Linked DNA regions of Caenorhabditis elegans. The protein of the gene in region 2 interacts with the protein of the main gene of each other region in a pairwise test. Each region holds a gene or a part of one and is shown on either strand. Other genes may lie near its edges.

What was found.
Region 1: the proteins of mob-3 (region 2) and ifc-2 interact in a two-hybrid assay, tested with the Caenorhabditis elegans proteins (one large-scale study listed by BioGRID).

Annotation. Positions count from the first base shown.
Region 1 is NC_003284.9:645,097-657,640, reverse strand, and holds the start of ifc-2 (Intermediate filament protein ifc-2), read left to right. Parts: upstream 1-2,819; coding exon 2,820-2,851; intron 2,852-4,558; coding exon 4,559-4,661; intron 4,662-5,507; coding exon 5,508-5,592; intron 5,593-6,733; exon of another isoform or gene 6,734-6,875; intron 6,876-7,533; exon of another isoform or gene 7,534-7,534; coding exon 7,535-7,614; intron 7,615-8,133; coding exon 8,134-8,269; intron 8,270-8,475; coding exon 8,476-8,586; intron 8,587-8,635; coding exon 8,636-8,852; intron 8,853-9,090; coding exon 9,091-9,290; intron 9,291-9,749; coding exon 9,750-9,868; intron 9,869-9,913; coding exon 9,914-10,166; intron 10,167-10,262; coding exon 10,263-10,354; intron 10,355-10,623; coding exon 10,624-11,283; intron 11,284-11,332; coding exon 11,333-11,435; coding exon of another isoform or gene 11,436-11,575; intron 11,576-11,916; exon of another isoform or gene 11,917-11,968; coding exon of another isoform or gene 11,969-12,008; coding exon 12,009-12,172; intron 12,173-12,421; coding exon 12,422-12,532; intron 12,533-12,544. Other genes in the region: lpr-7 (Lipocalin domain-containing protein), read right to left, coding at 561-678, 810-932, 987-1,055, 1,216-1,376. UniProt on the Caenorhabditis elegans protein: Cytoplasmic intermediate filaments provide mechanical strength to cells. Not essential protein, although its absence leads to mild defects in locomotion.
Region 2 is NC_003282.8:7,384,280-7,396,823, forward strand, and holds mob-3 (MOB kinase activator-like 3), read right to left. Parts: upstream 4,665-12,544; 5' UTR 4,648-4,664; coding exon 4,580-4,647; intron 2,990-4,579; exon of another isoform or gene 2,847-2,989; intron 2,561-2,846; coding exon 2,410-2,560; intron 2,087-2,409; coding exon 1,936-2,086; intron 1,882-1,935; coding exon 1,715-1,881; intron 1,615-1,714; coding exon 1,554-1,614; intron 1,502-1,553; coding exon 1,299-1,501; intron 879-1,298; coding exon 801-878; 3' UTR 477-800; downstream 1-476. Other genes in the region: ptp-8 (TYR_PHOSPHATASE_2 domain-containing protein), read left to right, coding at 1-20, 306-473; pitr-1 (Phosphate transporter), read left to right, coding at 9,818-9,934, 9,983-10,049, 10,309-10,587, 10,664-10,749, 10,810-10,906, 10,954-11,073, 11,247-11,872, 11,916-12,021 and 1 more.

The DNA.
Region 1 (12,544 bases), on a different chromosome or scaffold from region 2:
AACTCGAATTTTTTGTTCTAATGAAACATTGTAACTGATATATTTTAAACTAATGTTTCGAAGTTAAAGGTGGAAGTCAATTTGTCACGTTTTTTAAATAAAACAAAAAAAATACTCAGAAATTTTTATTATGTTTGTCTCATAGAAAGTAACTTTTGGAGCACTTCTGCAGTACTAGAAAATTGTGAAAAAAATACAAATTGAAAAAATTAAAGTTTGAAAATTCAGTGGATGTTTCAATTTTTGTGATAGATTAGTGAAATCACAAGTTTTAAATGGGACTCGTCTGGAAGTAACCCTCCACCATATACATACTTTGCTCGTCAAAAAGATGTATATTTTTTTAGTTGTTAAAAAATCACTTTGTCACTTTTTCCCTTTTTTGAGCTGAAATTTGACAATCGTATTGAAAGAAAAATTCATGTTCTGTGTCATTCCGTTGTTAAAAATTTTTTCTTTAGTTTCAAAAAGTCATTACATAATACAAATAATGTATGACAGAGCTTAACACTACTTTTGTTTTCTGATCATTATGGTGATCTCTTATCACACACACTCACCCACTGGAACTTGCCATACAAAGCCCTGACGTCGACTTTTGGCGCGGGCAATAAACTGGCCAGATAATCCTGAGCGCCCGGTATGTTGCGCAAGATATTTTGGAAGAAGCTTGGTGACCTTGAAGAAAAATGAATGATGATTCATACTCTTTTGGTTTTTTCTAACTTTTGTAAGGTTGATTTGAAACAGACTACAAATACTTCTCAAATACATTCATTCCCACGAATTTTGGTCATAAAAAAGCTTACTTGTCCTTAATAAGCGGTGATCCACGTGGCAAACACGATCCGGCTCCTGGTAAACTTCCCAAAAGACCTGGCACAACAGGCATTCCATCTACCAAATTCATAGAAGGTAATGGGTTTTTCAATCTGGAATATTTAAAAAATTTAAATACACTCTATTAAAAACTAAGACAGCATTACTTTTTGGCTAGAGTGTTGTCTGGATTCTTCTGCACTGTTTGCAGGTATTTCATGAGACCGACCGATTGACTGAAAACATTTTTTTTCAAATTATAGCTGCTCTAACTGAAATTCTGTAAATATAAGCTTTTAATGATTTGAGGAATCTTTTTGCAAAAATTGTGATAAATCTGTAGAACCGACTAAAAAAGCAGTCACGATGCATAAATACTTTTGTCAACCAACTTACGTAGCCAGATCCTGAAACGGACCCCTATCATGAGTTCCCGCATCTCCAGTAGACAAACCAAATATTTCCAAAAACTGACAGTTTACAGGTGAGAACGAAAAAAAAATAATAATAGTAAAGAAGTAGAACGTTGCGTGATATAGACCATTATTATGCCGCATTATTATGACGACCACCACCGAAATAGTGTCAGGCGGCGGATATCGTCTCCTCCGTGGAAAAAGGAATGTCGGATAGGGAGAAAGATGACAGTGAGAAAAAGAGAAATCACTGGCACTGTCAGAAAAAATCCGGATTTTTTCTTTATAATTTTAATTGATTATTGCTTATATTGCGGCTAGTTTCGGTTTAATGGAAAGGAAAAGATTTTCAGAATTGAATTTTATGAGAAAAAATAAAATTTCAGATAAAAATTTGAATTTTGATTTCAAACGGGTTTTTTGATTTAGTGTTTAAAGGAGCTCGAGTGAATTTATCGTTTCCTGAAAAAAATGTTTATGATGAAAGTGTACGTCCGTACATTTCCCAGCTTCCAGTAGGGCGTCAAAAAAATTCCGGGGAATTAAATTTGAATCATTAACCAGGGTTGACCAGGGGTAGAGATTGACCAAAATTCACCGGATTGAACAATTTAACTGTAAGTTTACAGTCGAGCAGTGTTCATTTATTGTGGGTGTGCTATTGTGTTACGTAAAAACAAAGCGAGCAAAATAATTATACATTTTTCAAAATTGATCAAGTGCGAAGTAACTTTAGTTAAGAAACTGTTAAGAACATCCAACGGTGCCAAAATAACCAAATATTATAATACAAATTTTTTTCAATAACTGTGATTGTCAAAAGTCAAAAAGTGACAATTACTAAGTTTAGGCCACTTCTTGTGAGAACTGTAGCACTCGAACTCTAATAATTTTCGAATGTTACTTTTTGAAACTTAAATAAAACATAAAATTTGGAAACAAACAATTTTTCCACGACTTCTAAAAAAATAGCAAAATTTTAATACCATTTTTCAAAAAATCATATAAAATTCGGAATATTTATACTATTTTTTTATATGATTTTGTTTCATTGGTATGTCTTCTACTTACAACAACGGGACATTAATTGTCTTTGTATATCACAAAGTTAGGAGAAAATGTCTGCATGCCTGCTTGGACTAGCATTGCCTTGTGCCAGCACGCATTCCTGAACCGAGCCTTTTTTGAATGAATCGACCCCCTTGATCCTACTCATCAGTTTTGTGAACGTTAGAAAATTCGCTGAACTGGATTGATAAATTTTTTGGCATGTCTCTTTCCTGTGACACTTTCTCAATAGTTTCAAAAACCTCAAACTTCCGGTTATATAATATTATCTCTTCAATTCGGGAAAGTTGTGAACTTAACGTGTGAGAATCAATGTAGCACTCAAAAGAGGATTAGCTGAATACAATTACATGCAATCCCAACTTACGGAATACACTTTTGAATATTGAGAAGTTTGGGGCGGAATAACTCCCTTGCCCAACAGTTTTCACGTTATTTGTCAACTAAATATCAACAAACAATTGTAAGTTATACAATTTCCTCACTATCCTTGTTTTCAATCGTTGAGAACTGAATATGCTGGTTCCGTCTGACTCCGGTGGCAAAAAGTGAGTAGATACCTAACAAGGGAAGTCTTTGAGGGGGTCCGTAGATTTGGGGTTCTCATGCTAAAATTCCTACAGAAGAGTGTTAGTTATGATCTCTCCAAAAAATTTAGCTGCCCCGGTCAAGTTTCAGCAAAGTTATGACGTTTTGAAATTTCGGTTAAAAACACCATTGAAATCCACTGTCTTACCATGCAGTCCACGCAAATCTCAGCTTGCGTGACCACCGAAAATGTGACACCCATCACATTGAGTTGAAAAATGTCCTCGGTGGACGAGTTAACTCCCCAATTGGGAGTGCGCGCGTCTGATAAGATTTAAGCTTTGGTTCGATTCCTTCTATTTTTGAAATATTTTTGTAAGTTGAATAAAGTTGTAAAACAACTCATTCAAACATTTTTGCGCATTTTTAAAGTGATTTTATTCTTATTCGGGAGCCTAGAATCATTGTCCGCACTTTTTGGAAATTTTTATTTTTTTCATTGTTGCTCAAAATTTCTTGATCAACTCCAAGCAAAAAATTCAAAAAATTTCATTTTTCTAAACAATTATGAAATTGCTATGTTGTTGTTCAGAAATGTATGAAACGTACATTACACAAGTTTTAACTCTCTATTCGCAAGTAAACCGTCGAAATGATCTACATCTCACGAACTTTGTGCAAAATATGTAACCAACTTTGAAGTTGCATAACTTCGTTGAGATAAATTATTTTGAAAAATGATCAACTAACGAAATGTTTGTTGAATAACAGTGAACAAAGTTTTAGTTATAAACTTTTTGATACCTCCAGCTACAAAGAAGAAAACAAGGTTGGCATTTGGCTAGTTTTTCTATTAACATTGTGTTTTGGAAAACGGTCACAACTTTTTGGTGGCTGAAGGTATCAAAAAGTTTATAACTAAAACTTTGTTCACTGTTATTCAACAAACATTTTGTTAGTTGATCATTTTTCAAAATAATTTATCTCAACGAAGTTATGCAACTTCAAAGTTGGTTACATATTTTGCACAAAGTTCGTGAGATGTAGATCATTTCGACGGTTTACTTGCGAATAGAGAGTTAAAACTTGTGTAATGTACGTTTCATACATTTCTGAACAACAACATAGCAATTTCATAATTGTTTAGAAAAATGAAATTTTTTGAATTTTTTGCTTGGTGTTGATCAAGAAATTTTGAGCAACAATGAAAAAAATAAAAATTTCCAAAAAGTGCGGACAATGATTCTAGGTTCCCGAATAAGAATAAAATCACTTTAAAAATGCGCAAAAATGTTTGAATGAGTTGTTTTACAACTTTATTCAACTTACAAAAATATTTCAAAAATAGAAGGAATCGAACCAAAGCTTAAATCTTATCAGACGCGCGCACTCCCAATTGGGGAGTTAACTCGTCCACCGAGGACATTTTTCAACTCAATGTGATGGGTGTCACATTTTCGGTGGTCACGCAAGCTGAGATTTGCGTGGACTGCATGGTAAGACAGTGGATTTCAATGGTGTTTTTAACTGAAATTTCAAAACGTCATAACTTTGCTGAAACTTGACCGGGGCAGCTAAATTTTTTGGAGAGATCATAACTAACACTCTTCTGTAGGAATTTTAACATGAGAACCCCAAATCTACGGACCCCCTCAAAGACTTCCCTTGTAAAGCAAACTTTTACACATTTATGGAGATTTCTCAATTGATATTGACATGGTTTTCAGGCGAGAAAATCACGTGGTACCATCAAATGTGGTGAAAGGGAATGAGTGTAAGCTGAAAGAAGCTCCATTGTGCACACTTATTGTGTCATTTACAGATGATGAGGTATGTTCTTTTTCCGATTTGAATTTGTAATAAAAAGCTATTCTTCACATCAAAATGCAGAAAATAGGCGATAAGCATTTACGAAGCGGTTTTTTTTTGAAAATTCTGAAACTTAAAGTTGTGGAAGCGCCAGTGGATAAATTGCTTTAGAACATGCCTATATAACTTACTATCATAGTAAAAATGTTCAGAAAAGTTTTCTAAATTTTATATGAGAAGTTTGGAAGTTAAAAAAAACATCGATTTGCATCAAATTCATATTCGAATTACTGCCAATAGTTCGGGCTTGTCTTATGTATTTAAATTATTTTCATCAAATTTTCTTATGTTTTGCCTGATTTTTAATGTTTTTTGTGAAATTTCATCGGAAATTCAGCAAGAAAAATCAAGATAAATTTAAATTACTCACCGAAAAACTAAAAAAAAACAAGGCAAGTTTTCCAACGACGTAGAGCCTGAAATAATCAACTGCACAGATCCGTTTTTTAATAAAACATTTACATTTATCCTGAATTGTTCACTAAATTTTCAGTAAAATTACACAAAAAAAACATGAAAAATCAGTCTAAAATTGTGAAAAATTAATGATTAAAAGTTTAAATAAGGCAAGCGTCGAACTCCAATTCAAAAGGGAATTTGATGCAAATTGAGATTTCTTCCTTTTGATATTTGGTAGTTATGGAACCATAGTCATGTTTTAAAACAATTTCCCCACAGGCCCTCCTCCACCTTCCTTTAATTCACTCCTATAATTCTCAAAACATTACAACGAATGTGTTCAAAAATTGTGGGGAAACAATATAAAAAAAATATTTTTTTAGTTTTAAATCTATCAGTTTTTTTCAGGCAAAAGATGTGACATCTGCTCACGTGTTTACCATGACCACTCCGCAATTGTACCCACAGACTAGAAAAACAGTCTACAAAAATGGTAATGTTATTTTTCCCATTTTTCACTAGTTTTTCGAGTTCTTTGTTGTTGCTTTTTCCGTGCAATTTGAAACGACAGTAGAGTGAAATGTTTTCAGGAAAGTTGGCAACAGTCCCTTTTCTTCCATTTTAATTTTCAGTTTTTGTTCACAAACTTCCAACCATTCCCATTTTTATCACCGCTCAATTTATTTGCTTTTGCCAGCCAATACGGCACATTCTTTAGAAAAATGTTTACTTTTTCAACAAAAAAAAATGTCAAGAGAATAGATTGTTGATAACGAAGCAGTGAGAGGGAAATGGAATTTTTTGAATGCACACTCTTAGACATATAACCATAAAAGCAAACAGTTAAGCGAAACGAAATTGGAAAACAAACTTAAAACGGAAAAAGGCATGTTAAACACTGATTGCGGATATTTTATTCACTAACCGAAATGCTGATGTACTGATGGAACATTTGGACAATGGCTGAAGTTTATCTTGTGTCACATTGCAAATTGATGTTTCAGGTGTCAGGTCTTAAACTTTCTGGAACCCGCTTAACATTTTTAGAGATTTCATTACCTGAAAATGAAAGGATTTTGAAAACGGAAGGATACTTGTTTCATTTGTTCAAATTTTCACATTCATCCCAAATTACTGACAAATACGTCATTTAAATGTGTTCTTCAGCTAATCCTCCTCTCGGCCAATTGCACAAATATATCGGAACAACAAAAGAAGACAGAATGGGGAGTGTATGTGTGTATCTTTAAAAAGAGAAAGAAAAACTGGTAGTTCAAAGAAAACTGTGTATGTACCAGAAGTAGCGACACAAATGGGACAACTGTCTATTCAAATAATATGTATCACGCTTTTTTTGGAGAGGGGCATTTTTTTTGGTGGAAAAGTGTTAATGCGCAGTTACACATCAAACGGGTGTCAAATAAATTGTATTTCTATTTTTGAAATGTAATTCATTGTAAATCATGTATCTGCGATTAAATTTTTTTGGTCAGTGCAGCTACATTTTTGAGCACTTTCTCCCCAAGTCCCAGCATTCCTAGTTTTTTTTTTGTTGCGTTTCCCCGAAAGTGAGGTTACTCCAATTTTTTTGAGTGTCAAAAACGCCGCAATAAATATTTTTTTATTGCCCGCACAAACGTTGCCCAATCATCATCAGTTTGTTCACAGTGCAATAGTGTTCGCGCATCTTTTACCAAGTGCTCGGCAAACAGTCAACCAGCAACTTTTCATATTGGATTTGAATACACAGGGGGATGGCCCCCACTTTGTGTTTGTTTGTGTCTGTTTCCTTATTTCTGATCTGAAATGTGGAGAAAATGTTGTTGGCACGTGTATAGTCCAGCATCACATTTTTTCTTGTAGTGCATTTTCAACAAAAATATTTTTCACTTAATTTTGTTTCAACACGAAAAAACAGCAATTTATTTTTTATTTTAGAAAGATATTTTTAGTTGAACTGCGTCAAAACCCTTAAATTTGCCACATTTTTGAAGTTTGCATTCCGAAATGAGCTGGCAGAACTAACTGTAAGCAGCAGAGTTTTTGTCAGTGCAATTAATTTTCTAATGAATTCAATGTGCAACTTAAGAAACCTTACAAACCTGAACATTACAAACCTGAACAAGCTATGTATTTTCTAAAGTCCTTACGTCACAGGAACACATATCAGTTACCACTCTTCTTTCACTGGAGCTACTCTTCATCTTTCTTCAATAACTCTCACTTTGTGTTTCATTTCATTAAATGCGCGTTTTCGAAACAAAAACCGTCGAAAAAAACTCCTCATCACAAACAAACAGGTCAGGCGACCACGAAGATTTACTTGAGTAGTAGGCAATTATGCCTGTCATCTAGGTGACTGGCGTTTATTCCTCTGTTTTTCTTTTCCCTACTACCATCACCTTTCCACTTCACTTTTATTGTTCTTTTTCTAGGGTCCTCATCACAAATGTCGTTAACATCCACACCATTTAGTACCGACGATGAGCGATACAGTGGGTATACCAATTCTGCGGTAAGTTTTTTTTTTTGATGTGAGACCAGTGGCTTTTGAATTATTCCAAAGTGCTGAAGTCGAAACTGTTTTACAAATTATTTAATACAGATTTAATTACTATATATTTTCTAGGTTTTTGGGCATCATTATTGGGCATTTCTTAACAGATTGAAAAAAATGTTTTTCAGTACATAGATAAAGGTTTTTTTCAAAGTTTTCTCAGTTTTTTAATTGAAAAACAACATTTATTTGGTGTTCACATTTTTTCAGCTTAGAAGCGATTAATTGTAAGTTTCGATTCATTGTCTATTTTATTTGTGAGTCTACTAGAAAATAAAAAAAAAAAAACAAAAAACTTTCACTTGATCCGATGTTGTTTTGGTTTGGTTCAAAAAGTGTGTTTCCTTTTTGTGAAGATATCTGCTTGAGTATTGGGAAAATATATACATTTTCAAATTAAATGTTGTGCGAAAATTGTTTTTACAGCTCAAGAAAACTTGAGTTTATTTTCGAAATCCTACACTGTAGTATTTTCAGATGTCACCTCCCCTCCAAAAGCAGTTAATTCAAGAAGTATCGCTTTCATATTCCGCTCCATACACATCCACAGTTAAGCCTTCAAGGCATGACCTGCCGCTTGCCTTCTCACCATATTCCCTGGACTCAGAAATAGGTAAGTCACTTTTTGTCGTGCAAATTGAAAAAGGGAAAAAGTTAACCACTCCAAATAGGTTAAACAATGAGTAATCTTGGTAACACCTCCGCAGTGGAGTTGGCCAAATATAGTCTTATTGAAAAGGGGTGGTTGTAATAAGCCAGTTTTCTTGGCAATCCAATTTTTATTTTATTTCTCATTTTCCTCAAATTCGAAACGTTTAGAGGACCTTCATTCCCACACATATTCTCAGCTGTCAAACCGTTCCAACGGGAACAAAGTTGAATCGGCAGAAAGAATTTATACAGCAAGCAGAAAAGAGACTGAGTTTCCAGGTAAATTTAACATTTAATGCGAGTTTGATGTATTGATGTACTATTCTAGCAAAAGCTGATCCGATACCATACTTTTCTGCTCAGTCGGCAATAAAAGCTGGCAGAGAAAGTCCGTCTTACACAACAAGAAGTACACCAACTCCCAGACAGACACCTATTTCGTTTGATCAGGCTTCAACTGCAAGATTGGATAGTGGTCTATCTCAGAATTTGATTGTTTCAGAAAGCACAACTTTTGAGGAATTGACAACTATTACTACATCAAAGTGAGTTCACAAAAAGAATTTGCATAAAACAGTTCGTAACAGCAAAACAGTCAAAAAGAGAGATACAAACGTATAGAGATTAAATCTCAACACCGCATTGTTTTTACGTTGTTTTGTCCCAGATTTACCCCCCCCCCCCTCCCCCCTCAATCCAAGTCACCTACGATCTGCTTTTTTACATGTTCAGTTTTTTTTTTGGAAAAAAGTTGTTTGCAGTTTAATATCATCAGTTTTCCAGCAATCGAACCACTAGAAAGAAAGAGATCAAAACCGAGATGCCAACTGTGAACGCCTTGACCAAACAATTTGAAATTTCGTCGCAGCAGGAAAAAGTCGTTCCGTTGAAACCAAGAAAAAGCTCCAATGTTGATTACAATGGAAATGGGAATTCGAGGAGCCGTGTTGTGGTTATTGATAAGTCACAGATGAAAAGTCACAGTGAGTTGGGATTTTGGCACTTAGTTTTGAATATATGCAGTATCGGAGTGTTATGTCGAGCGAAGTTTTTGTTAGTATTGATATCTGTAAACCTGAAAAATTTTCATATATACTTTTTCAAACATGGCGTTTAATCTCTCATGTCATAAATCAACGTGTGAATTCTTATGCAAACATAAAACATAAATAAAACATTGATAAATAATTGGTTTCGCCATGAAACTGCCATGAAACTTGAAAAATACAAATTTTTCCATTATCTTAGTGGAACTTTGTCGATGTATATACTTTGCGATAGATAAATAAATTTTATATACAAGATGTATAAAAACAACTGATCGGAACTCATTTACATACCGGAAAAGGTTTTTTTACGTTTTTATGTTTTATAACTTAGAATTTTGTTTCAAAATGAGAGCATACAAATAATAGACCAGCACCCATTTTTGTGAATTGCAGAAAATGGAACCTACACTCCGAATCGATCCGCCATTGTTTACTCACCAGGCGGCATATTAACAACCACTATTGTTGACATTGAACCAGCACGATTTGGAAGACGAACCGAGGAGTATAAAGTTTGTTATTCAGTTTTTTGGAATTTGCCTTTAATTTGCTTTCAGATCCAAGAAGAGTACATAGTTCAGCGATATGATAATGGAAGCTCTCCAAACTATCAGAGACAAGAGCAAGGATATCAGCAACAACAGCAGCACCGGAGCAGAGAATACAAAACGCATCGTCAGGAAAAGCAAGAAAACTACAACCAGCGAAGTTACAGTGCAACTGAAAATCGAGAAGTTGACGCTCCTGTGGATACATCTCCCATTGATGTAGTGAAAAATGTCATTGATCGCTGGGAAACTAAGATTGGAGGTTTGTACATACTGTTGTGGAAATGCTGACCGACTAACGTCGAGATTATATTTAAAAAAACTAGATAAACATCATTATCAAGACCAAATGTTGCAGGAACTACTACTCGCTTCTACGCAAGCGATCAACAACTACGTTCGGTATCACGAGTTGATATGAATGATAATGTGCCAAGATCCGCACAAGAGGTAGAGGAAGCATTTATCGTTTCTTCCCATTTTTTGAGTATGACTCAAACGGGCAGAGAACATTGCACAACTCGCTATTTTTGAAACGACTAAAATTATGTTTATAGAGATTGAGAATCGTAGATTTGATAAAAGACTATTGAGGACAGTGTTAAGCAGAGCTTTAAAAGGCTGGAAGTGGTATGATTTTAAGCCGTTGAACTTAAGTAGATCAAACATTTAAGATTGTGAAGGATGGCAATGACATCCTTCAATCATTATTTTTCCAGAAAATAATTGTTCACCAAAGAAGTGAATCCCAACCGACCGAGCGTGTCATCCCAATTTCCCCTTTACCACATCGAGTTGAGCCTACAAGGACTACACAATCTGGAGGACTGCTTCAAACATATGAAGAACTGAAGACAGTGGTTGTCAAACAATCTTCTGACCAAACCCCCCAGAAAATCGTCCCAAGAGCCCAAAGCCCAGTAACGTCTCCTGTCTTCAAAGAGACGATTTTGTCTCCGCCACCAATTCCAACTCCTTCTCCAACTTCTGATATCGCTGAAGAGGTTCTGAGAACTGATGAAACAACACAGCACACCGCTATCACTATGCATTCCATTGTGACAAAAGAAGTCAAACAGGAGGCCAAGGAGAAAATTAATAGCGTCACTGATAACGCTGAAATGAAGGAGAAGGTTGTGGAAATTGCGAAAAATGTCGAATATGAGTGGGAAAAGAAACCGCTGACACCAACTCCTACTCCGATTCCTCCTCAGCAACAAGAAGTAAAACAGGAGGAATTGAAAGTTGAGAATAAAATTGAAAACGATCAAAATGAAGTTCATTTGCATAAGTTTTTGGATAGAGACTATCGAATTAAAACCTATGAGGAGTACTCTACGACCAAGAGGCTGAGAGACAGATCACAACCGCCTGAGAGAGTCAGTTTGTAGCTATTGAAATGAGTTCCTGGAATAATACCATTTTCAGCCACCAACTTCGTATTCGTCATACTCTGATCGATCTCGATCAATCGATAGAACATATGAAAGAAGAGTTCTGGGAAGTGGAATGTCGAGGACTTATTCGGAAGGTAACCTGAACTTTGCGGGACTAAGCTTCAAATTTGAAAGTAGTTACAATATGCTTACTGTACCACTATCACAGTTTTTGGAACATCAAAACCAAACATTTGGAACAGTTCATTTTATACACTACTTTCTTTGTACTTAGGAAAAACTGTCGCTGATCTTGACACTTTTTTGAACTTTTTCTGGCTTGTGATAGAACAACAAAAAATGAAATTTTTTAAACTGTTAATACTTCTTAGTCTAGTCACGGATAGTTTCTTTACACTTTCGACGTTCTTTTCTCCAATTTTAACAGCATAATCTTTTTTCTTTTTTTTGACATTTTCAACTCTAAATGAAACAGCTTGGAATTTTGATATGATGACAGTGAGAAACGGAGAAACACAGCGACCAGCGCCAAACTGATTACAGTTGGCATTATGTTGAAGGCATAGGTGGAGTCGCAAGGGTTGCCTATAAAACATTGTCTAATCAGTGCCATTTTCTCATTTTTTATCATTATTAACTTCTAAAATCGACAAAAAAAAACCAAAAAATGTCGACTTACGCGGCCTATACTACTTCTACTTATCAAGGTCGTGGACTTGCCAGTGGAACATATGCTTCTGGCTTTGGCCAGCTTGTCAGTGGAATGTCATCTGCTGGAGCCATCTGCACAACCCAAATCCGTGACGCGCGTGAACGTGAGAAGAGAGAAATTGGTCTCTTGAACGATCGTCTCGCGGATTACATTGAGAAGGTACGTGACTACAAGTATTTTGAGCCCAAATTTTAGGCCCCGCCTTGAAATTGGGGCCTCAACCAACATCATCTGCCGACATCTCACAAGTTCTGCGCCTCACTATATTCAACGTAACGCTCTTAGCAAGGAAAGCCGATGATCGGCTGGTGCGCTGTCACGTTGAAAAAAGTGGAGTTCAAAACCCGTGAGATGTCTTCGGCTGATGTTGTTTTGAGTGTACATGTGTTCTAAAAGTTTCAATTGCAGGTTCGTTTTCTGGAAGCTCAAAACCGATGCCTCAGCCACGATATTGATATTCTTCGCAACGGATTCAGCGGTGGAGGTCATGTATCTGGACTCTTTGACGCTGAGATCAACGTGAGTTTACTT
Region 2 (12,544 bases):
ATTGGGATCAAACTGAAAAGGTTAGAAATTTTGGAATTGTTGAGCAGATGTACCCGAAAAAATGATTATTTGATAATATACATTCAATGTGAAGAATTGTTAGTGTAGATTTTGTATAAACAAAAAAATAAAATTCGAGTTTAGTGACTTGCATGAAGATATAATTGACAGTTTAGTGAAAATAACGAAATACGTATTCCACTTATCGCGAACTTGAAACAGTAGATTTTAGAACGCAGTTTTTCAAAATAACATGATTTCAAATTATCAGTTTTGCTCTATTACTCCAAATTCCATTTTTTCAGGATTGGTCTCCAACGTTTTGGTTTTTATTAAAATGTATCCGTGAAATGCCTATTCCTCTTCATTTGGCACTATCACGTCTTATTTCCAAATGGTTCCTACGTTCTGAAGTGGAAATCGCGTCACGCATCAAACACATTTTATCATCACCGGTTACTTCAAACGAGTAAATTCAATAAAAGTTTTTTTCGAGAAATAAAAAAAAATGAAATCATTAAAAAAAAAAAAATGAAATCACTTTGGCGGGAAGTCTTTGCATCATAAAGAAACAAAGAAACGGGGAAGGCAAGTAGAAATAGAGGGGAAACGATTTGGATGAATACTGTTTACATGCGATAAATCGTTGGGAATACGGAGAGAATGAGAAGTACAAGTTGAACTGAACATGGAAAAGTTGCACTTTAATTGAGACAGAAAGCAGAAACAGTGATGGTTCACAACCGAAAATGACTGGTATTCAGGAAAAAGAAGAAGAATGACATGAAATGGAACAAAAATCATGACCGGAATGCGTTGGCAGAAGGAATTGGAGCTCGGCGATTTGATGGCTCCAGAAGACGTTCAGTCATGTCTTTCTGAAAAAAAAACAAGTGCTTTTATTTGAAAAAAAAATCACAGATTAATTTTTTTTTGAAGAACATCAAGTTATTTTCCTCAAAATTGAGGACAAACTTCTTTTATTTTTTAAACATTTTTTGTTGGGTCCTTCTTTTTTTTTTGAGAAATCAAAAAAAAATCTTCGCTCTTGGATTTTGCAATCGAAAAAGCGACGCCCTTGCTCCAATAGTGTTTTTTAAATTTACTATTTTTAAACTTGCTCTTTTCTTAAAAAATAAAAAAAAATCCTCCTAGGCGTGAAAAGTGGGAGGGGAAAAAAATTGAAAATTTGCGTTTCGTGAGACAGTTTAAATAATTATTTGAACATATCTTTTTTTGTTTTTGGTAAAACTTTTCTCTTTTTTTTTCAAAGTGTGCTCCAAATTTGCATAACTTACCAATGCCTCCAATTCTTTAGTGGACACCATTCCATATTCAGTCACAAAAAAGTAAAAATGTTTATAAAGGGTATTGGCGTGTGGTTCAGCACCCAATTCTCGAATCCGATCGAAATGATGAATGTAGACGTGCACGAAGACACGGAACAAGCGAGTGAGAATCTTTTTGCAAATTTGACGGAAATCTTTTGGAAATGATACATCTGAAATAATCAATAAAATTAACTATATATATCGTACAAAATCAAATCTTACTTGTGCTTGATGGGAAGATGTGCTCATCATTAATGCGAACTTCAATCCAATCCATTAGCAGCTGAAACAACGGTGTATCAGTTTACCGAAATCACACAATTGTGAGAAGGGTGCAAATAGAAAGAGAGGGGTATTAGGTTACAGAAAACGCAAAAACAAACCTGCATGTACTGCGGAGCAGGGAGTCTTGTCGGTTTTTTATACTCAATACCATCCTGCCACAAATATTCATAACGGGATCCTCCACACATAGTTGGGCAAGATTCACGAGTGCATACATCAGAAATCGTTCCATACATCAAATTAATTCGATTGAAAAAGTCAACAGCTGAACGAAAATTCAGTTTTAAATTTAAACTGGACCATTTTTGTTGAAACTTACTATGTACAGCCAGCCAATCATCAAAGTTCTCACTTGGTGGCAGTTTGACAGCATGACGAAGATCTACACCCGAATGAAGAGTTGCTTCTGCTTGTTTGTGAAGACTGTAGCGGAGTGTACCTTGTGGAAACTTCTTTTTCGGACGGAATGTCTACAAACAAAATACTTTTCGTTCAATTTCAGAAAATGGTAATTTACGCAGCTTGGTCCCAAATGCCAAGATATCACAAAAAATTAAAAGAAAACACTCATTAAGTTTGAAAAAGAAAACTACTAATTTCGGTAAATTTTCAATTTTCTAATGTTCCTAATTTGAATTACAGCGCATTTGTCTTTAAACCACGCACATTTTTCAGTGCCGGACTTTGGTTTTTATCAATTTCGATGCAAAATAATGTTTTTTTTCTTATTTTTAATAAAGAAAAAAAGCCAACAAAAATATTTATCTCAAATCAAAAATTTGTTTTTGATTACCTTATGCTTGTTGACCTGCAGAAAATCGAGAAAACTGGCCATAACTGCAAACAATGGTTGTGGATCCTTTCGTTTTTCGTCTCCACCGGAAGAGACGATGGCGCCCGAAGGCGGTGAAGTTCGGCGTGGAGTTGACGGCAAAATTCCCGATCTGCAAGAGAAGGAAGGTTTAATGAGTCGTAAAACTGGGTTAGTGGTGAACTAAATGAAAGCAAGCGAAGTTCATTGGCTCACTTTTTCAAACGAATAAAGAACATCATCATGGTAGTTTTTCATAGAAATTGTGGCCGAAAAGTTGCGAAACGCGTAAGGAATTTTAAATTTTCTGATGAAATCGCATTGTCTCGTGAATTCTATTTTTGAATTCACCGCTTCCCGTTCGGTTTCCGCATAGAAACACACAAATTTAACGAATTTATGAGATTTCGGAGATTTACCTGGATTTCCAGATCGGATCAGTAATGAAGTCGGGATGAAGAATGAAAGGATTTTTAGACTGGTGGTTGGTGGGAAATTAGCGAATTTTAATGATGGATAGGCTGTGGCGCGGCACTCTCTCACGCAGTTGGCCCCGAAGAAACAGAAAGAGAAGAGACATACACACAATGAACATCATGCGTTGGGGACGAAGCAAAACGAGAGAGTATTGGGATAGGGGGATACGCAGAGAAGAATAGGTAGCAGTTGAAATGGATGGAGAGATGATAGAGCAATATAGAATGTAGATACGCAGACAGTGTGAGTTGCGGGAGGGCATGGATTGTGTGTGTGTGTGTGTGTGGCAACGAGGATTTGATAATGAGCAGTCATGAGAAGGACCAAGAGAGATGAGTGCAAATTGGGTGAGAATCTATGATTCCGGAAGTTGTCGTAAAGCAAGCATTTTGAATTTTATTTCAAATATGCAATGCCTACAGTAACCCTAGTAGGTCTAGAAGGTTCACCACCGTGGAGTACAAAAATCTCGATTTTCATTTTTAGACTTTAATAGCACAAAACAACCGAAATTCGTAATGAGAAATTTTGAAAATTTCTCAAAAAATAATTCTGGCGGGTCAAAATTTTCGATTTTAGCTGAAAATATAAATACCCTTTTCAAAACTTTGATCCGCCGTAACAATTTTTTGAGAAATTTTCAATACGTCTCATCACAAAATTCTCCACTTTCAATCGTCCATAATCTACAAAACATCATTTTTCAAAACTTAAATATGCAATAACGGTTAAAACCAGAATTTTCGATAGAACTACGAAGTTGTATATTATATAATTTTTGGAGAACCATCGGAGTTTTCCAATCTCCAAACATAAAATCTCTATTTGAATTGGGAACTTTTGATGACTCAATAGTAGTGGGCAAAACTTTTGTGGACTTTACAACTTCAACGGCATAGTTTTACTTTTCCAATACAAAACAGGAAAATAAGAACAACACACATTTAATGGTAGCCGGAAGAGAAATGAGGAAATTATGAGGGTACTTTGGCGTGGGCTTTCTAGCTTCAGTTTCTCATTCCAAAAGAGTAGACATTTCTGATGTATTTCATTGAAATAGGTTTTGCATGACCAACTGTTTTTTCAATGTCCTCGAACGATTTCCCAGGTTGAATGACATTTGAAGGTGACAATTGACAATGGCCGACACATTTTATTTGCATCTCATTATCACATCATTCTGTGAACCTACAGTACCCTTTAGACTGTCAGTCTTCTTTTAGAAATTGCACTCTTTCAAAAGATAAATTCGACGTTTTTAAGTCTCTTTTGGAAATAATGATCGACATAGAAGCCAGACATTTGACGAAAGCTGGCCAAAATCATGGACTAAGAACTTTTGATTACGGACAAATCTGTTGAAACTAGAAAATGAAAATATTTTAATGTTTTTGGAAATAAAATTGAATAATACGTTCAGAAATTGTAGTAAAAGAAGAACGAATAAGTTGACAGAACTTCACAGTGATGATTTTGACTGACAGCCGGCCTGTGTCAATGTCAAAAATCTCTACGGATTCCGGATTGAAAAATCAGCGTTTTCTACTAAAACCGAACAAGAAAGAGGAACGTTCAACGAAATTTAATGGATGTTTGCCTTCGAATCATTGCATCGCATTCAGAATGCCAAATGAGTCGAATATGAATAATCGGTAGTGAAAAACTTGGAACAAACCTTTGTTTTGTAGGTGTGTCGCCACGTTGAAGTGCCTCCGGAAGACCATAGCAGTTGAGAAGAGACATGGAGAAAGGGAAGCGTTCTGAAATGAGAAGAAAATTATTGTTGGATGAAAAAATATGTTTTCAAATAAATTAAGGACACGTGGACCGGCGTGTGTAATCAATTTTAAATCATTTTCAAAAGAATTTCTTTCTAATCTGTAAATTTAGAACCCTTTCTGCGTTTTCGGTAATCCAGGTTTTCTGGTTATCTCGAAAAACCGGCAAAATATGGGAGAAAAGATTTATATTCAAAAAATTTCAATATTTCACATAAACTAAAAATTTAAGTTTTTTAGATTTTTTTTCAGGATTTCATTATAGAGGTTTCTCAAAACAAAAGAATAAAAATCTGAATATATTGGAAATGTTCGACATGAAACGTTTCGCAGTTTTAAAATTGAAGTGAGTAAATTCAGGTTGAAAGTCAAACATATTTCTGAAAAATAATGAAAATAAAACTTTTTTACGTCCGTTTGAACTGAACTAATGGGGTTATTCAAGTAGTGTCGTGAAATTGAAAAGTGTATTTCAATACACTTTTTGCCTTATTCAAGTAACATCAAAAACATGTATTTCAATACAGTTTGTGACGTAATTTCGCGACATTTCTCGACATTTCTCGACATTTTTCCACAGTGGATTTATCAGAATTGTTCTCCTTCGACGGCAAATTGTATGGATTTTCACCCGCGGGGACACCTTTCTCTGTGTTTTTCATTCAGTTGTCCGCTTTCTGGTTGTCGCATAATGTCGAGAAATGTCGAGAAATGTCGCGAAATTACGTCACAAACTGTATTGAAATATATGTTTTTGATGTTACTTGAATAAGGCAAAAAGTGTATTGAAATACACTTTTCAATTTCACGACACTACTTGAATAACCCCATAAATTAAAAAAAATAAAAACTCCAATTTTCCAGGAGAAAAAAAAAAAAATAAAAACTAACAGGAAAAATGTTTTTTACCAAACAAATAAATCGTCGTAAGATTTGGTGTATTTTGTGCACTTAGCCTACCGTAACCCACGGTAAAATGCAGAATTGTGGTTCAAATCATTTTAATTTTCCCACGATATATTTTCCCACGCTGTATGTTCTTCTCGGCTATTTTTTGCTGTTTTATTTGATTTTTCATAATTTTAAAATATTATAATTCTTATTTCTTGAATTTGTAGTAGATGATGCAAAAGAGGGGTCGCTTTAAAAGCAGATTAAATTCTTCCATGTCTTATGTGCTCATTTTCCGTTCGATTGCCCATTTGAAAACGAAAAAATCTGCCGCTTCTCTGGTCTTATTCGTCGTGGATCGTTGTCGAGCAGCTCTTCTCCGTCGTCGCGCGTCTCGGCTTTTCCATCGTTTTTTCTGCGCCCTCTAGTTCTCTCGCTCCCTTTATTTTGCTCGCACTTGGCTTCATGCCAGCTGGTCCCCTCTGCTTTTTGCATACTATCTAATTCAGACCCCAGTCGCTTGCATTGGGAAAGGCCACCTCATTGAGCTCTGTCCACAACGAGTTTGGACCCAGACTGGCATAAAACCATATGCCTATGAAATTGTGTAAAATGTTTCTTCTTTCTAAAATCAGTTCGCAATTATTTCGTTCCTTGTTCCTTCCCGTTCGAATTTTGAATCTATTCTCTCTCTCTCTCTCTCAAGTTCCTTCATTTCCCGCCAAGTGTTTCTCTTCATTGCGACTTTCGACCAGCTGTTCGAGCAGCTCCTGTATCATTTTTTGCTACGAATTTCTTCACCAACTGCACGTAAACTGCTACTTTAGTTATTTGTTATATTTTTGTTGTGTTTAAAACTGAAGAGGTCACCGGAGCGAACATTTTCTAGAAAATTCTATTGTCGCACAGACAACAATATAATGTCTAGAAAGAATGCGATTCTATTCTGAGAGGCTGGTCCATCATAAAGTGACGAAAATGATTATGTGCGAGGGTGTGTTTTGTTCGTCTCTTCATCCAATCTTCTTCTCTCGAACCTCTTCCGTTTCTTTCAGCTCGAAAATCGCAAGAAATAGTCTATAAATAATCCAGCGAATCACTGAAAGACTGATGTTTTGTCTCTTTTTGATGTATAAAAGTGCTTGTTTCTATCAGTCTTTCGAAAGATTTTGTTGAAATATTGTATTCTTATTCTGTGTAGGTTACTGTGTGTCACTTTTGGCGAACAAAGAAAGTTCAACCGGGAAGAAATATTACCGTAGCATGTTCTCTCCGTTTTCTCTCACTTGCTTTTGCACTTTTGGTCTCCTCTTTATTGCATCATTCCGGGCCCCTTTGCAAATGTGTTTGATATTCTATCGACCAAAAAGTTTGATTCATAAGTTGAAGGCTAAAGTTTTTATTCTTTTTGTATTATTAGAATGCTCTTATCGAATACAATTAAATCCCACTACACTAAAGAGGTAACCTCATTAATCTAGACAAAAATTACTTCCTTTCGGAATTATCGCATTCCAAAGTTTAGATTCATTAAATATTTCTTTATTTTGTAATTTTCTCTCTTGTGGCACCTTGTTTTGGCTCACATGGCATTCGGCGAAAGCAAAACATGAATGTCTGTTTTCAAAGTTATGCATTCACCCCCATCCTCCAACTTTTCTATGAAAAAGATTTGGTCTATGATCTTTCCAGCCATGAGCTCGTCGCATTCTATTGAGTTTTGAGAAGAGAAGAAGCTCTAGAATTGTGTGCTCGTTGTTCGACTCTTTCAGGATAAATTTCATAAGTAGAGAGACTTTTCATCTTACACTGTTAGCTACGGTGACGTCATGAGAGCAACAATATACGCTCTTTGTGCGCGGGCCGAATGATTGCGAAAGAGAAAGAGCGTCTGCATTGGACGTGTGACCTTCAATGTACCCTTAAGACTCCGCCTTATTTTGAATCATAACATTTTTGTCTGCTAGACGACCCTTGGCATTCGTCCAATTTTTTTCGAAACTTTGAGTAGGAATTAGATTTGCAAAAAAAAGTGAAAACGAGCCAGTAGATCCTCCTCGTATCTTCATTCTTCTTTCGTTTCAAATTGATTGCTCCTTTTCGTTGTCTCTTCTGTGCATTTTCCGTGAACTTCACCAATAGGTCATAGGGATCTGCTTCTCGCTAGTGGGATATCCTGCGTCTCATCTACTCTGACATTAGATGATGGGCGACGAAAGAAGCACCGTTTACACCCAACCCATCACGTCAGAGTACGGCCGACTTCCCTCCTTCCCATGCAATATCACCTATGAAATCGATTAGAAAGTCCCTCGCTTTATATTTCAATTCGATTTAAAATAGAAGACGAAACATCTAACTTGGCTCACTTCCTCCCTTTTTTTCGTTTTTCTTCTTTAGATAATCCCTATCCTCAGGCGCTTCAACTTCTTGTTTCGCGATCTTTCCTCTCCGGATGCGTTTTTTAGGCTGATTCTGCAACAAGAGTTTAACAATCGGATTGTCAAATTTGCTCTTTTTCTTTTTATTGCGCACTCCCTGCCCCTGCCTTTGACAACCTTTCCAATCTGCGACTGTTAATAAATCTAGGGTCGCAGCACATCGAGCAAACAAAGAACAATTTTTTAAAAGAAGTTGAAATATTGCTGAATAGATGGACCTCATTTTTGTTCATTTTCTCTATCTAATAGTGATGCTCTTACACATGACAATAATAACCAACGTTTTTCGCAATAATTTTTTTGTTTTTGTTGACTCAGTGAACATTTGTGAAATCTGGCTGTTGAAAAATCACGAGTAAACTATTTTCGTCAACGATTCAGATTTTTGAATCTACAAAATATCTGATGTCACTGAAAAAGCCTTTAAAAAAATAAAATTTACGTATTCTAGTGCATTCGAGTTTACTGCCATCATTCGCCCAATATCCTTAACCAATCCATCAGTTCAAACTCATTATTTCCCGTTTTTCAGCCCATATAAATGGGAATTCGGTGTCCTCAGCAAGAAAATAGGCCGACAAGATTATATTTAAAATTATATAGAGTTCGCCCAGCAAAGACCATAACGTCACTCTCTAAAGAACAATCAAAAAGATATCTTTCTTGCAAGACACCGTTTTTCTCACCTCTTCTCTTTCTTCGTTTTTTTTTGTTAACACTTTTCTCATGTGGCGACATAAATCTTCCAATGTAGGCGAGACCGGACGCCGGAGACTTTGTCGCTGACAAACCTTTTTGATAATGTTATACGTGGGAGTTCAAATAAAACTCTTCTTATTTCCTTGTTGCTCCTCCTATTTCTACCTCATTCCGTTTGTCACAACTTTTCCGTATTCTTTTATCTGATCAAAATGGTTTTTTTTTCAGGGGTAATTATCGTCTCGGATCGTGAACTGTGCGGCGAGTCATCTCACGTCTTGTTACCGTTTTCGCCTAAACCACAGGCGAAGGGCCCTGCTGAGCCACCGCAACTCCACATCCCAACCCGTCAACTCACTCTTCCTTTCGAATTCTACAATCATCTTCTGGTATGATTTTGTTTTTAGCGAAAAGTCTAATTCTGATGAAAATGCGTGGGTTTTGCGGGGAATCCCTAATGTTTCCATTTTGAAAATAATATTTCCCGTTTTTTGAAACTCGATATTTTGCCGCTATCCATTGCTCGATGTTCTTTAAACCAAGGAAAAAAAAGAATTTGACGACTCACTGAGGAATCTGGTGTTAATAAATTCCCCTTGAAAACTTCTTCCGTCTTTTCATAAAATGAGGTTTTCACTTCTAGTTTAACCTAAGTTAGCGGCAAAGTTCGATCAGATTAGTTTGTTTGATTTTAGATTCACTATTGTTAGCTAATAGAATTAAAATTAAATGATGATAGCTTATTTTTGTAACTGAATTTTGTGCTCGTCTGAACCTCGTGCCAAAAAGTTTATGATACTTATGAAAAAAGAACAATTTTTAATTACCATTTACGTCAAAGAGCTACGCCGGAAAGACAAAAAAAAAATAAATGACGCCGAATTGTCACAAGGATAGTGAGAAACGAGTGGTAATAGACCAAGAGATAACAAATTGTTTATTTCTCTTTAAAATTGGACTGTTATCAGAGACCATCAGCTGCTGTCGGCAAAGAAAAATTTCTGCTGATAGCTGGCTCCTTTGTGTTTCCCTCATTTCTACCGCCTGACGCTTAACCTGAATCGCTTCCAAAAATGTTTCTTTTTTTTTAGAACAGACTCAACAATGCTTCCCGATCCAACTGTTCTTCTCATCATCGGAGCCGTTATAGCATTCATTTTGGCGTTTGCTATCGGTGCAAATGACACGGCAAACTCGTTCGGAACTTCTGTTGGAAGCAAGGTTGGAATCTTTATTCACATTGAAAATTCTAGTTTTTTGAAATTTCAGGTGTTGACTCTTCATCAAGCATATGTTTTGGCTAGTATCTTCGAAACACTTGGAGCTTGTCTCCTTGGTAAGTAACACAGATCATCGTCGTAAGTATCTGCATCGTGGGGTGTCGGTTTTGTTCGATTTATCATTAAAATCGAAAAACTAAAAATTTTCGTTTTCCCAATATTTCAAAAAACAAATTTTGGGTATTTTTATTCTTTTTTGAAGAAATTTATATGTTTTATGGTTTTCTTCAACATAAGCATAATTTATAAAATTGAATTGTATCTTTGATTTTTTTTTAAATTCATTTGAAACTCACAAAATTCTAATATTTTTAGGTCATCAAGTGACAGACACTATGCGCAAAGGTGTGATCGACTTCTCAGAGTTTGGTAAACATGAAAATGGTACCGTTCTTATGAGCGAAAATGATCTCGGCCATACTATCATGTTGGGACAAATCGCTATCCTCACTGGATGCGGTGTGTGGATGTTGTTGGCGACTGCATTCAAGCTGCCCGTATCTACAACTCACTCAATTGTTGGAGCCACGATTGGATTTGCTCTCGTTGCCCAAGGATCTCGTGTCATTGTGTGGGAGAAGATTTACCGTATCTGTGAGTTCTTTACTCGATTATATTGGTTCTTGTCTGAAACGTGTGCTTGTATCGCTATTGGAAATTATTTTTGCAGTCTTCTCATGGATCATTTCACCACTTCTCTCTGGAATCGTTTCGGTTTTCATCTACTTGTCGCTTGATCATTTGGTTTTGAGACGTGTAAGTTTTCCCACGAAATTACTTTTGTTACAATAACTATGCAAATGTAAATATTTTCAGGAACAACCTCTTCACAGTGGAATTCGAGTTCTTCCTGCGCTCTACTTCATCTGTTTCGCTTTCAACGTCTTCGCCATTGTCTATAAAGGACCTTCTTGTAATTATTTTAATGCAATGACGTTTTTTCAAATAATTAATTTTTAGTCCTCTATTTCGATCGACTCAGTCTCACACAATGTCTCATCATCTCTGGAGTGTTCGGATTAGCGGTTGCTCTTATCTTTGCGTTCTTCTTGGCACCGTATCTCAAGGATCACATCCTGAGTATGTTTAAGAAATGGAGTATGAGGTTAGCAATTGTCGATAAGGCACTGAAGATAGTTTCCAGTGGCCTTATCGTTGCAGTATCATTGATTAATATTCTAAGATTTTATATGAGTTTTCAGGTGGTAAAATTATTAGAAAATTCTGCTGTCGATAAATTATTTTCATTTCAGGCAAAGAACTTCTTGAAATAACTGGAAAACAGCGACACAGTCATCACGGACATAACGAAAAGAGCAGTTCAAAGCGAAAAGAATTTGAAATGGAAGAAGGAAATGGAAAATATCTTGAATCCGACAATAACGGTCAACCTCTTCTCGATCAACCAACTATTGTAGTCAGTACATGCCCATCAAATGGAGAATCAACTTCATCTTTCGCAAAGAATACAATTCGCCCGTCTTCCTCCCTTGCTTCATTCTTCCGTTCCTGTAAACCAGAAGATCCACAAGCTTCACGACTGTTTTCACTTCTTCAAGTGATGACGGCCTGCTTCGGAGGATTTGCTCATGGAGGAAACGACGTGAGTAATGCGATTGCTCCACTTGTTTCGCTTTATCTGATTGCTAATGACGGAATGAAATCGGCCGATATGGAAACACCATGGTACCTTCTTCTCTACGGATCCTTCGGAATGTGTCTCGGTCTCTGGGTTCTCGGACATCGTGTCATCTACACTGTCGGAGAAAATCTAACCAAGATCACTCCAGCATCTGGATTCGCCGTCGAGTTTGGAGCTGCTGTCACTGTTCTGATTGCTTCAAAGCTCGGACTTCCTATCTCATCAACACAATGCAAAGTAAGAAATTCATAGAATGACATATGCAATCATCGGTTTACAGGTTGGATCCGTCGTGGCAGTCGGTCTTGTTCAATCCAGACATCAAGTCCATTGGGGAGTATTCCGGAACATCTCACTATCCTGGATAGTAACTCTTCCAGTTGCCGGTAAGTGTATTTTAGTAATTAGTTCAGATGTTAGAAACTTCAGAGAGACTAAAACGCTTATTAATAAATAATAAAGTGAGGAACCACATCCCCAAGATATAGTTTCGATAAGTAAATACTGTTTCAAAAATATAGCTGAAAGAAGTATTAACAGAATGTCAGTTTTTTAAATTTATTTTTCATTGAAATTTATTTCATTATCCAACGACAAGTGAAACCACCATTTTCTAATTGGAGAAAAGTCTTTCTGTTATTTTAAAAGAGCCTTTGAAATTTGTCGGGTGGATCAGCTTTTTACTCGCCTGTCCATCATTATTTATTATCGTTGTAGGTCTTCTTTCCGGTGGAACCATGATGATTCTCCATTTATTCTCGTTCGGAACCGATGCAACGCCCAAGGATTCTATCCTCCAGCTCTTCTTCTAATCGCGTTTTTCTCAACAATCATACTATCCTTTTTAATTATATCTAAGTACTTTCATTTTTTGGCATATTTCTTGAATGCGTAATACTTCTTCCATTT